Saccharomyces cerevisiae S288C: one gene and its partners. The main gene of each other region encodes a partner of the protein of the gene in region 4 in a complex. Each region holds a gene or a part of one and is shown on either strand. Other genes may lie near its edges. The genes, in order: ERI1, GPI19, GPI15 and SPT14.

Evidence for each region.
Region 1: SPT14 (region 4) and ERI1 share a complex: the UniProt entries of both Saccharomyces cerevisiae proteins name them as parts of the phosphatidylinositol N-acetylglucosaminyltransferase (GPI-GlcNAc transferase) complex.
Region 2: SPT14 (region 4) and GPI19 share a complex: the UniProt entries of both Saccharomyces cerevisiae proteins name them as parts of the phosphatidylinositol N-acetylglucosaminyltransferase (GPI-GlcNAc transferase) complex.
Region 3: SPT14 (region 4) and GPI15 share a complex: the UniProt entries of both Saccharomyces cerevisiae proteins name them as parts of the phosphatidylinositol N-acetylglucosaminyltransferase (GPI-GlcNAc transferase) complex.

The regions. Positions count from the first base shown.
Region 1 is NC_001148.4:366,029-368,277, forward strand, and holds ERI1 (Eri1p), read right to left. Parts: upstream 708-2,249; coding exon 501-707; downstream 1-500. Other genes in the region: tyrosine--tRNA ligase MSY1, read left to right, coding at 1-402; PNG1 (peptide-N4-(N-acetyl-beta-glucosaminyl)asparagine amidase), read left to right, coding at 899-1,990; EEB1 (medium-chain fatty acid ethyl ester synthase/esterase), read right to left, coding at 2,043-2,249. UniProt on the Saccharomyces cerevisiae protein: Probable component of the GPI-GlcNAc transferase (GPI-GnT) complex in the endoplasmic reticulum, a complex that catalyzes transfer of GlcNAc from UDP-GlcNAc to an acceptor phosphatidylinositol, the first step in the production of GPI-anchors for cell surface proteins.
Region 2 is NC_001136.10:1,335,505-1,338,277, reverse strand, and holds GPI19 (phosphatidylinositol N-acetylglucosaminyltransferase GPI19), read right to left. Parts: upstream 927-2,773; coding exon 504-926; downstream 1-503. Other genes in the region: THI74 (Thi74p), read right to left, coding at 1-4; PPZ2 (salt homeostasis regulator), read right to left, coding at 1,325-2,773. UniProt on the Saccharomyces cerevisiae protein: Part of the complex catalyzing the transfer of N-acetylglucosamine from UDP-N-acetylglucosamine to phosphatidylinositol, the first step of GPI biosynthesis. Involved in cell wall biosynthesis.
Region 3 is NC_001146.8:555,239-558,284, forward strand, and holds GPI15 (phosphatidylinositol N-acetylglucosaminyltransferase GPI15), read left to right. Parts: upstream 1-1,781; coding exon 1,782-2,372; intron 2,373-2,446; coding exon 2,447-2,545; downstream 2,546-3,046. Other genes in the region: transcription factor TFIIIB subunit BDP1, read left to right, coding at 1-1,594; isocitrate dehydrogenase (NAD(+)) IDH1, read right to left, coding at 2,682-3,046. UniProt on the Saccharomyces cerevisiae protein: Part of the complex catalyzing the transfer of N-acetylglucosamine from UDP-N-acetylglucosamine to phosphatidylinositol, the first step of GPI biosynthesis.
Region 4 is NC_001148.4:216,790-220,588, reverse strand, and holds SPT14 (phosphatidylinositol N-acetylglucosaminyltransferase SPT14), read right to left. Parts: upstream 1,960-3,799; coding exon 1,943-1,959; intron 1,843-1,942; coding exon 501-1,842; downstream 1-500. Other genes in the region: NIP100 (Nip100p), read left to right, coding at 1-422; TRE1 (Tre1p), read left to right, coding at 2,226-3,799. UniProt on the Saccharomyces cerevisiae protein: Catalytic subunit in the complex catalyzing the transfer of N-acetylglucosamine from UDP-N-acetylglucosamine to phosphatidylinositol, the first step of GPI biosynthesis.

The DNA of each region.
Region 1 (2,249 bases), 150 kb from region 4:
AAATCACCCAGTCTACGTTATGGCCAAACTTTATTGGCTAAAGAAGTCACAGATATGTTATATGGAGTTGGCTCCGGATCGGATTCAGAAGCGCTTTCTAATATTATTTTTGGACGTTATGACGGAACTTTATCTGCTGCGAAGTTAGTTGATCTATGTAAAAAAGCCAGAATTTTGCAGTATGCTGATAGAGAGATTGACTTAATAAAGTTAATTTGTAAACTAGTAAATTGTTCAGTATCAGAAGCCAGAAGAAAACTTTCCCAGGGAAGCGTGTATCTGCATCATTCAAAATCTAAAGTAAACGAAAATATTTCTAACTTGGCTCCTTTCCTGATAGATGATCGAGTACTGATCTTGAGGATAGGAAAGCAGAAGTGTTTTATAATAGAAATGCGTTAAAAAAAAGGGAGGTATATAAAGTACATGTATAAAATAGGCATGCGTGAGGTGATATTATATCATTTTATGCACTGACTTGTAAATAAGATTATAAACGATTATTCATCTTTACTACTTGCGAACATTTCACTGTCACACCAGGCTATGAGGGCCCACAGCCAGAGAGTCGCAGGGCATAGCAGTAATACACACCAGTAGTGCAGGAAAGAGTCATTGTTGCGTAACCAGTAAAATGTAGCAAGACTAATTAGGAGTACCGAGTAAGTAAACCCTAAAACCAAAAAGCCTTGGTCACGTGGTCTCATGCGCTTATAAATTCTCAATCATGTAATTGAAACAGTCCTGTTGCCTAGTTTCAACTGTTCTATGCTTCTTGATGTTTTCGAAACTTTGCGTAGTGTAATCTTCCTTGTATTGTAGCGAAGAAAAAAGGATGCGTTGGGAACAGATATAGAAGACGTAAAACAACCTGAAGAAGGTAACAGGTGGAGTAGCAATGGGAGAGGTATACGAAAAAAATAACATAGATTTTGATTCAATAGCCAAAATGTTGTTAATTAAGTATAAGGATTTCATACTGTCTAAATTCAAGAAAGCTGCACCTGTAGAGAATATAAGGTTTCAGAATTTAGTCCATACAAATCAATTCGCACAAGGAGTCCTAGGTCAGAGTCAACATCTCTGTACAGTCTATGACAATCCTTCATGGCATTCTATAGTCCTGGAGACATTGGATCTGGATCTAATATATAAAAATGTTGATAAGGAATTTGCCAAAGATGGGCATGCAGAGGGGGAAAATATATACACGGATTATCTAGTAAAGGAGCTGCTTCGCTACTTCAAACAAGATTTTTTCAAATGGTGCAATAAACCAGATTGTAATCATTGTGGCCAGAACACTTCAGAAAATATGACACCTCTGGGCAGTCAAGGGCCCAATGGAGAGGAATCTAAATTCAATTGCGGAACTGTTGAGATCTATAAATGCAACCGATGCGGAAATATCACTAGATTTCCTCGTTATAACGATCCAATTAAGTTGCTGGAAACTAGAAAGGGAAGATGCGGTGAATGGTGCAATTTATTTACTTTGATTTTGAAGTCGTTTGGGTTAGATGTTCGCTACGTCTGGAATAGAGAAGATCATGTTTGGTGTGAATATTTTTCAAATTTTTTGAATAGGTGGGTTCATGTCGACTCCTGTGAGCAATCATTCGACCAACCATATATCTATTCAATTAACTGGAACAAGAAAATGAGTTACTGTATTGCGTTCGGTAAAGATGGCGTTGTTGACGTTAGTAAACGCTATATCCTCCAAAACGAGCTGCCCAGAGATCAAATCAAGGAAGAAGATTTAAAATTCCTTTGTCAATTTATAACGAAGAGGTTGAGGTATTCGTTAAATGATGACGAGATATACCAACTTGCATGTCGCGATGAGCAGGAACAGATAGAGCTGATTAGAGGAAAGACACAAGAAACGAAATCCGAAAGCGTCAGTGCCGCTTCGAAATCATCTAATCGTGGTAGAGAAAGTGGATCGGCGGATTGGAAAGCACAGCGTGGGGAGGATGGTAAATAGAGAAATAAAAGAACAGATTATTATGTGTAAGGAATTTTATCTAAGAACATATTTATAAAACTAACTCATCAAAGCTGCCCAAGAACTCGGCAGCTTGCTTTGTTAACCAGGAATTACTTTCATTGTCGAGATAAGCCAAATGTCCACCCAAGTCAGTCTCGCATAACAACACACAAGGATTTTCTCTAGCTTGTTTGTACGGAATTACGTTTTCACCTGTAACTGGATCATCCGTTGCGTTGATTATTAAAGTTGGGAT
Region 2 (2,773 bases), on a different chromosome or scaffold from region 4:
TCATTCTCCTGCTTACTTTTTATTTTTTGCCTCTACCATCACTCTTATACATATCTAATTCTTCCTTGATCTCCTGCATTATTATATATATTCTTTTGAATATTCATTTCAACTTTCATCTATATGCCGCAGTTACCGAAAAATGTGTATGGGGGGGCCTACAGAATACGAGAATAGCCACAAAACGGTAAGCATTACAGCCTCACCATATAATAGTACTGTTAAGTGCATACATTCCAGTAGCCCCATATTATGACTTTATGCAGGACCGATGAAGATGTAGAAGATGGATCACCATGTGAAGGCCTTTCCACGTGACTTGAATTGTGTTGCACGTGACTAAACATTGTCAATTAACAGCAATAATAGAGTAACTATTAGAGCACAATTGCCAATCACGTTGGCGTAGTGTTCCCGTAGCCAGTTTGTATCTTATCTTGCGTATGCATTTACTGGGGCGATGTGATTGTGATGTTATGTCTCTGGACAGGTGCTGAGAAAAGCTATGTGCTGGTATGGTCGTTATCATATAGGTAGAGAAGTTGGCAGGCATCCATCAGAGACAGATCGTAAATACCACTTGTTTCTTTAAAGGCCCATTTCTTAACGAATACGTCCGGGTCGTCCTCTATTACAAGTTGACCACCGGCATCCGTTACTGTAGATAGAGAATCTAGCGGCGGTGTTAATGTATCTTCATTGTACATCAGAAGGCCGATGTATGTGCATAGCATGCCCATCAGCATTATGCTCTCCAAGGTAATAATCCATCTTCTTTGTGGGAAGATGTCCAATAGCGTGTTGATAAACTGCTTTGGTGCAGCCTCACCCAGCGATGATGGTAAGATGGACCATATTATGGTGAGCACCAAAGTGCTTGTTATTATCATATATTGTGAAAACCAGTAGTACTCTTTTGTATACATATTGTTTATTTATATCTTTTAGTATTAGACAGGAACAAACAGCTCAGATTCTTTTTTTGGCAAATCTGCTCTCCTCTTGTGATTGTTTCAACTTTCTTTCAGCACATAAATTTTAAAAGTTTACTGGGCCCAAGCAGGAACTTTATTAAGACAATAGGGAATAGTGAAAAAGCCGGCAAAGTGAAAATACAAAAAGCGAGCAATAAAACTCGTACTCTCAAAAAACCCAGAGGAAAGGAAATGAGAAATTGAATAATATTAATATTTACTTATTTAGATTCTCGTAAGATATAAGTGAAACTATAACGACAACTTTATCGGCGAAAAAAAGAAGGAAGAGGAACAACCAAAGAAAGTTTTCAATGAGCTTATTAACTGCAACATTAATATCTAGTTTTTCAGCGATTGGCTAATTTACGTTCTTGCCTGCCTTTTTTCATCACTTGTTTCAAAGCGGTACTGTCCAGTGGGTCCAACAACTCAAAAGAACAGAGTAGGCCTTCACTAACGGTCATGACAGCACCCCAGTTATCGAATTCACCACAATAGTTGGGAGCCGAAAACACTGTAACTAAGCTTCTGTCATTAAAGAATTCATAACCATCTTCCACCACCATATGTGCTCTACACACTAAATCGAATCCGAATTTGTTTAAAAATTTATTAATAGCCACTTTATTGTAACAAAAACTAACTCCACGCTCATTATCCTCCCATTCATTCGATGAATCTGTAGGATCCGACCATAAAAGGTCATTAATTAAGCCGAAGTCGGGTACATCGGTGGGCCTACTAACGTGCCTAATTTCGTCCATGGAATTTAGAACAGGTGATAGTCCACCATGAACACAAAATATTTTTCCTGTGACGATGGCTGCTAACGGTAGCGTGTTGAACGTGTCAACAAAGGTTTTCCAAATCTTGATATTACAACGTCGTTTACATTCATCATAAAACCCGTAGACTCTTGTAACATTGGCACATTCATGATTGCCTCTTAAGAGGAAGAAATTTTCAGGATATTTAATCTTATAGCATAGTAATAGTAAAATGGTCTCCAGGGACTGCTTACCGCGATCTACGTAATCGCCTAAAAATAAGTAATTTGCCATGGGGGGGAAACCGCATTTGGTAAAAAGTCTCAAAAGATCTGCATATTGGCCGTGAACATCACCCACTATTTTTACCGAGGGAGATAATTCTAAGAGAGCAGGTTGGGCAAGGAATAATTCACGAGCCTTATGGCAAATTTGAATAATCTCGGAATTCTTTAAGCAAACATTCTTGGTCCTCTTTGCGGCATAGCCGGCATCTAGTAATCTCTGGATAATTTCATCTATGTCCACTGGACGAACTGGTTTTTTCCTTTTCATTTCGACCATAGTATTAGTCCTAGATCCATTATCACCGTCTGCACAACTCCCGTGTACGAAATCACCTGTGGGAGATGGTGGGGAAACATATATTCTTTGACTGGAACTGGAAGACGATGAAGACCGTTGTCCTTTGCCCCGCGGACTAAGTGAAGATGATGAATCTCTGTGAGCTAGTGTTGGATATGCACTTAAATATTCTCTTTTTGACGCTGACGACGCTGACGGCGAAGGCTTGTCTATGTTTAGATTAGGGATAGGTGAGGTGCCTCTACCGTTGACGTTGTCTCCGCTATCGTCGTTGTCCCTCGAGCTCATTTTTCTTAACGCAGGTGAATGCAGTGGTGTGCTATAAGCTGTATTCCCAGTGGAGCCAAATGACGACTTCCTGGATGATGCATGCGAGTTTGATCTGTTTGAGAAATAGTCGCTGCCATTCCCTCCTGCTTCTGCATTTAAAGGATAACTTGCTGG
Region 3 (3,046 bases), on a different chromosome or scaffold from region 4:
GAAACCTTCGCTAGTTGGAGAACGCTCTTTAGAAGGCTTTACCTTAACCGGCACTAATGGACATGATAATGAAATAGGTGATGAGGGCCCCATTGACGCCTCGACCCAGAACCCCAAAGCAGACGTTATAGAAGATAATGTGACTCTAAAACCGGCACCCTTGCAAACCCACCGAGACCAGAAGGTACCGAGATCCAGCAGATTAGCTTCACTGAGTAAGGACAACGAAAGTCGTCCAAGTTTTAAACCGTCATTTCTCGATTCTTCCAGTAACAGTAATGGGACTGCGCGACGTTTATCTACAATCTCCAATAAGCTTCCTAAAAAGATAAGGCTTGGAAGCATTACAGAAAACGATATGAATCTGAAAACTTTCAAAAGACATAGGGTTTTGGGCAAACCTTCTTCGGCTAAGAAACCAGCAGGTGCACACAGAATCAGTATTGTCTCCAAAATTTCTCCACCTACGGCAATGACCGATTCTTTGGACAGGAATGAATTTTCGTCAGAAACTTCTACATCAAGAGAAGCTGATGAGAATGAAAATTATGTGATTAGCAAAGTCAAAGATATCCCGAAAAAAGTGAGAGATGGGGAGTCTGCTAAATATTTTATCGATGAAGAGAATTTTACGATGGCAGAGTTGTGTAAGCCAAACTTTCCTATTGGTCAAATATCTGAAAACTTTGAAAAATCTAAAATGGCAAAAAAGGCAAAATTGGAAAAGAGAAGGCATCTTAGAGAACTCAGAATGCGCGCACGACAAGAATTTAAACCACTACACTCATTGACTAAAGAAGAACAGGAAGAAGAAGAGGAGAAGAGAAAGGAAGAAAGAGATAAACTACTCAACGCTGACATTCCTGAGTCAGACCGCAAAGCACATACGGCGATCCAACTGAAGCTTAACCCTGATGGTACTATGGCAATTGATGAAGAGACTATGGTTGTTGACAGACACAAAAATGCTAGTATCGAAAATGAATATAAAGAAAAAGTTGATGAAAACCCTTTTGCCAATCTTTATAATTACGGGTCGTATGGTAGGGGTTCATACACAGACCCGTGGACTGTGGAAGAAATGATAAAGTTCTACAAGGCGCTTTCTATGTGGGGGACAGATTTCAATTTGATCTCACAATTATACCCTTATAGATCAAGAAAACAAGTGAAGGCCAAATTCGTTAATGAGGAGAAGAAACGTCCAATATTGATTGAATTGGCCCTTCGATCTAAGCTACCGCCTAATTTTGATGAGTATTGCTGCGAAATCAAGAAGAACATTGGTACAGTAGCAGACTTCAACGAGAAACTAATCGAATTACAAAACGAGCACAAACATCATATGAAGGAAATCGAAGAAGCAAAGAATACGGCAAAGGAGGAAGACCAAACTGCACAAAGGCTAAATGATGCTAATTTGAATAAAAAGGGATCTGGTGGTATTATGACAAATGATTTGAAAGTTTATAGAAAAACGGAAGTTGTTCTGGGTACAATTGATGACTTGAAAAGGAAGAAACTCAAAGAAAGGAATAATGATGACAATGAGGATAATGAAGGAAGTGAAGAAGAGCCTGAGATTGATCAATAAGAGACATTTATATGCATACATAATGGATAAATAGCACAACTTTTTGTTGTATTATATCATTTTCTTCAGGTGTACCGCGGCATCAATAAATGAAGCGATGTTCGGAAGAAAAAATTGGCAACGAAAACAGTATTATGAAAGTTACATATGAGGATCGTTCTATAAGCAAAAGAAACAAAAGGATGATATGATTAGTAAAGAGTATGAATTTGGTAAGACTAGTATACTGAATAGAAAGAAGTATACATTAGTTATCGATGAAGACAAGAATGGCAATTTTATAAGATTTACCGTTTTACCTGTATCTAACCGAAAGTTCAAAAAAGTCAAGCAAAATGGGAGGGTAGAGATTAACATGGGCATACAATATCACCAAATTGTACTTATTTTACTACTGAATATTTTGTTCTATGTAATTTGCCTAAGATCAAGATTTCTCGAACATATTAATAGAACTTTTGAAGTGACAATCGCGCGAAGTTTCCAGATCTTAATTATAATGGGATTGTTTGCCTTAGGTACAATTATACTTGTGAGGGGACCTAGTGTGGAAACTGTAACAATTTTCAAAGAAAGTGGACTACAGCTGTCCAGAGTGAAGGGTATGGTTATATTTCCTCAACAATGGAATCGGAAGTTCTTTGAACAAGTAGAGTTTATATCCAATGAAAGAATTATTGATGTAGTGATCAATGAAGGATTCTGTCGGGGATTTCGAGTGATATTCTATCTTGCAGCAATTGTACGTAAATCGTCTACGCTTAAGCTATTATTTCCAGTATGTATTCAAGCGAATTTAAGATTGTTTCTTACTTCAACGATCTGATTAGAAATACTAACACAACAATGCAGTCAAATTTGCCCAGTATCGATGACCAACGTCTAATATACAACATATCTAGAAAATATCTCAGTAAGCAAGAAAAACCCCTGAGCAGACCAAAAGATTGAACATCAAATTATCATTACAGAAAATCTTGAGACATTTTGGTATATACTTATATTTTAGTGTATGTTTATATATAATTATAGATAAGAATTTGAACACACTTAAGTTGCAGAACAAAAAAAAGGGGAATTGTTTTCATTACATGGTAGATAATTTGTTGATGATTTCATTCGTGAAGTCAGTAGTAGAAGAGGAACCACCAATATCTCTAGTGGTATGCTTACCTTCTGCGATCGTTTCATGAACTGCCTTTGAGATTCTAGTAGCATATTCATTCAAACCCAAATGGTTCAACATTAACGTGGAGGAAAGGATCATGGCAGTTGGGTTAGCCACATTTTGGCCTTTAATATCTAAACCAACATGTCTGGAACCTGGTTCGAAGACAGCATAGTCCCTGCCAAAGTTGGCACCTGCCACCAATCCTGGACCACCGATCAAAGCAGCGCCAATGTTGCCTAAGATGGTACCGTACATTGAAGGGGTAACTAGGACATCAAATT
Region 4 (3,799 bases):
AGAATATGGAGCTCAAACTATATCAAATAAAGGATAATAATACGTTGAACAAAATTTATTTAGACAGAGAGAAAGTAGATAGAGTAAATTTAGTTTCGGAAATCATGGAATTGAGAGAAACCATAAGACGACAAATAAAAGAGCAGAAACGAGTGAGCATCGATTTCAGCTGGTTAGACGAGCTTCCAGCTGTGGAAAATAAGCAACCATTCAAAGAACATATCAACCACAGTTTGGACACCTTGGGGATAGAAATGTTCAACTTCGTGAGTACCTCACGGATTTTAGATTTAAAGCTTGATCAACCTTTGGCAGAAGATGAACTCTGGCATGAAAGAGATCATTCTTACATTTCGTATTTAAAGCGCAAGAGGAAAAATATACGACTCAAATCTCAAAATGTTGTTACATATTACAAATGACTGAGTGATTCTAGCAGGTCTATAACATTCAAATACAGTAAATAAATGGATACAACATTCCTTTGTTTTGTGTAAAGTTTAAGTTTCTCTTGCTTCCTTCGTCTCGTTAGACACTGTTTTCTTGGGCCATTTTGGAGCTAGATCGATTTCATCCCTGGGGTATAGCCACTCTAAGAGGAAAAAAAGCATGTACTCTACAATTCCACATAACAGATAAAGATGTTTAGCCCAGATTCCATCTCTTTTGTAAAGATTTGCTACCATTTTCATCCAATCTTTATCATCAGCGGAAGAAGTAGAAGATATATTAGTATATATCTCTACTGTCCTTTTGGCTACGTCCATCCAGTCGTACATTTTAGACACGCTATCATGAAAAGAGGAAGTGTCCAAAGCTTTACTTCTTATGATATTGATAGCTTTATTTGTTGCTTGAACAAGGTCAGAAACGGATGTCTGTTCTGCATAAACAGTCATCTCATTTGGTAACACTTCGGGAATTCCTCCGACTTGTGTCGTTACAATTAGCAAATTACAAGATGCGGCCTCAACTAGAATTGTACCAAATGCTTCTGTTAAACTAGCGTGTAAATATATGTCACCTTGACATAATACATCCCTGACTTTCTCATGTGGAACAGAGCCTAAGAGTTGCACACGTTTTTGTAGTCTATGACTTTCAATCATTTGTTGAAAATCTATGAACTTTGGACCATCGCCCGCTACTATAAATTCGACATCTTCATGTGAGGAACAAACTTTCGGAATTATGCGAGTAAGTAAATCGGACCCTTTGTTTGGAAAGAGCCTTCCGATGACCACGATCACTATCTTATCCCTACTTTGTTTTCTCTTGGTGCCACCAGTAGGATCCCTTGGTTTGAAATCTTCGCTCACCACTGCGTTGGGAATTACTGAGATTATATCAGGACTTAATTCTGTTCTAACAATCATATTTTCTTTGCATGTATTAGAAACACATATAACCCGATCTATGTTTGTCAAGGTAAATGTTAGCAACTTATTCACCCAAATCGACGTTAAGTTATTAAAACCGTAGAGTGAATGGTCCGTGAACACAGTTCTCAATCCCATAGTATTAGCATGAAGAATTCCCTCGTGAGCGAACGTGGAAGCGCTACCATGAGAATGAACAATTTGGATCTGCTCTCTGAGAAGAATATTCCTTATTATTGGAAATGTTGAAAAAACAGTGGGGAAAGTGGTTTCTCTGAAAATCACAAAAAATGGTACGTGATAGACCTTTAGACCGTTGGTAAGATGTCGTACGCCGACTCGATCTTTGTAAGCGTGAGTTATAATGACGACAGAATGGCCCAAATCGATTAGTTTCTGCGATAAATGATATATATGGAATTCGACTCCACCTAACTGTGGATAAAAAAAGTCGCACAGCATCCTATTTTCATTGTTATAACTCTCAACTTTACTGGTTAGTATCAACAACAAAAGAGATCTTCTTTAATGTATTTGGAACACATGCTGTGAGCTAGACATACGCTATATTGAAGCCCATTGTTTTATATAATAATGTTAGAGTTAGCTAAGCTGTAGTTTATAGTATCTCGTATTTTTGCATAAGTTTTTTGAGGCTATTACTGGCATCGATTATTTTTAAATCGTATCAATGAAATTTTCTAGCTCGACAGTCTCGGGTTGCAAACGAAAAACTTAAAATAGCAGAATGAGATTATTCAATGAAAAGACCCTGAGATTTTTTTCAAGCTGTTATTTTTGGTATACATTGTATTAGACAAGTTCGCATATGAGTATACAAAGGATATGGTGAATACTAGGGGCTACACTACTCTTCCGAATGTTGAAGAACCAGCAAATAACTCACAAGATGAGCTAAACTCGCAGGACTTTGAGCAAGCTATAGGAATGCCATCAGAACCCCCGGTATATGTGGAAGAGATGGGGATGGAAGAACCGCAGGCTCCGGAAGCCTTTAGTGAGAAAGTCCAGCGATTTCGTATGTGTTTTGAAAATAACGTGGTGATTCCAGTAAAGAAAAATGTAGTGGATCCGCTAGCACAAATGATTTCCCTGGCCTCTGAGAAATTCGATTTGTTCTTAAGTAAAATAGGTAATGTTATGGTAATGAGGAGAATATTTTACATCATGATGATGTCTATCATTGCAGCGTTGATTATTGCGAGTGATAGGTTACCGAATGGAAAAGCTCGAGGTTCAAATGGATCATTCTCGGACCATGATCTCCTTTTACAGTATGCTCGGAAATCGATAGACCTTTCAAAGATAGAAAGAGATTTAGAGTATATTAGTAGTATGCCCCACATGTCAGGAACAAGTGGTGATGCCGCTATTAGACATTATATTAAAGAGTCGTTCGACAAAAATGGTATAAGGCTAGCTGGGGAAGAGGAGTTCATGGCGTATTCGAATTACCCAGGAAATGTCTCACTTCGTGTATATTCAAAGGATGATACAGAAGGGTTTGATATTCCCTTAAATGAGGAGAACTTTAACCCAATGAGCCATAATGGTCAATTGAACAACATACCGGTGATTTATGCTAATAAAGCATCGTTGGACGATATGGCTTCTATGCAAGATCAAGGGCTTTTAAACGGTGACTTTATTTTACTAGTGCATTACGGAGATTATGTTTTCCAACAAATGTTGACTGCTCAAGAATATGGTGCGAAAGCAATTATCTTTATTTCTGAGCCTTATCAAGACAACAAAGACGTGATACAAATGAAGTCAGTTGCGTTGCCGCAGTATGGTACTGGTGATGCACTTACGCCTGAATGGGAAGGATCAATAAGAGATCCTATCGATGCTACGGAAGCCAAGTGCCTACCCAAAATTCCATCCATACCGATATCTGCCAATCAAGGAGATAAAATACTAGCTATATTATCAGACACTGGCGTAAAGTTTTCTAATAATTTATTCAGTGGGTCGCTTAACGATTGTCGACTTGACCTACTAGTGCAAACAGCAATTAGGGAACGCCACCCGGTTCACGATATAGTTGGTAAAATTGAAGGATCGGAACAAGCGGGCAGGGCAATTGTTATTGCTGCACCGAGGAACTCTGCTAGTTATGGCACTATGTATCCTTCTTTTGGAACCGTCGTTTTGCTGTCTCTGATCCAATTATATCAAGAAATGGTTTACAAATTTGACTGGAAGCCTCTAAGAAATATATATTTCATTTCCTTTGGGGGCTCTGAATTTAATGAAGCGGGAGCCACGGAGCTGATGGAAAAGAGAACAGAGGCATTGAAGAGTGAAATATACACCATTATCGACGTCGGCCAAATCGGTATATGGGATGATAGTAACAATTTAGAGATACAATGTCATCCGCTACTAGTAGATCT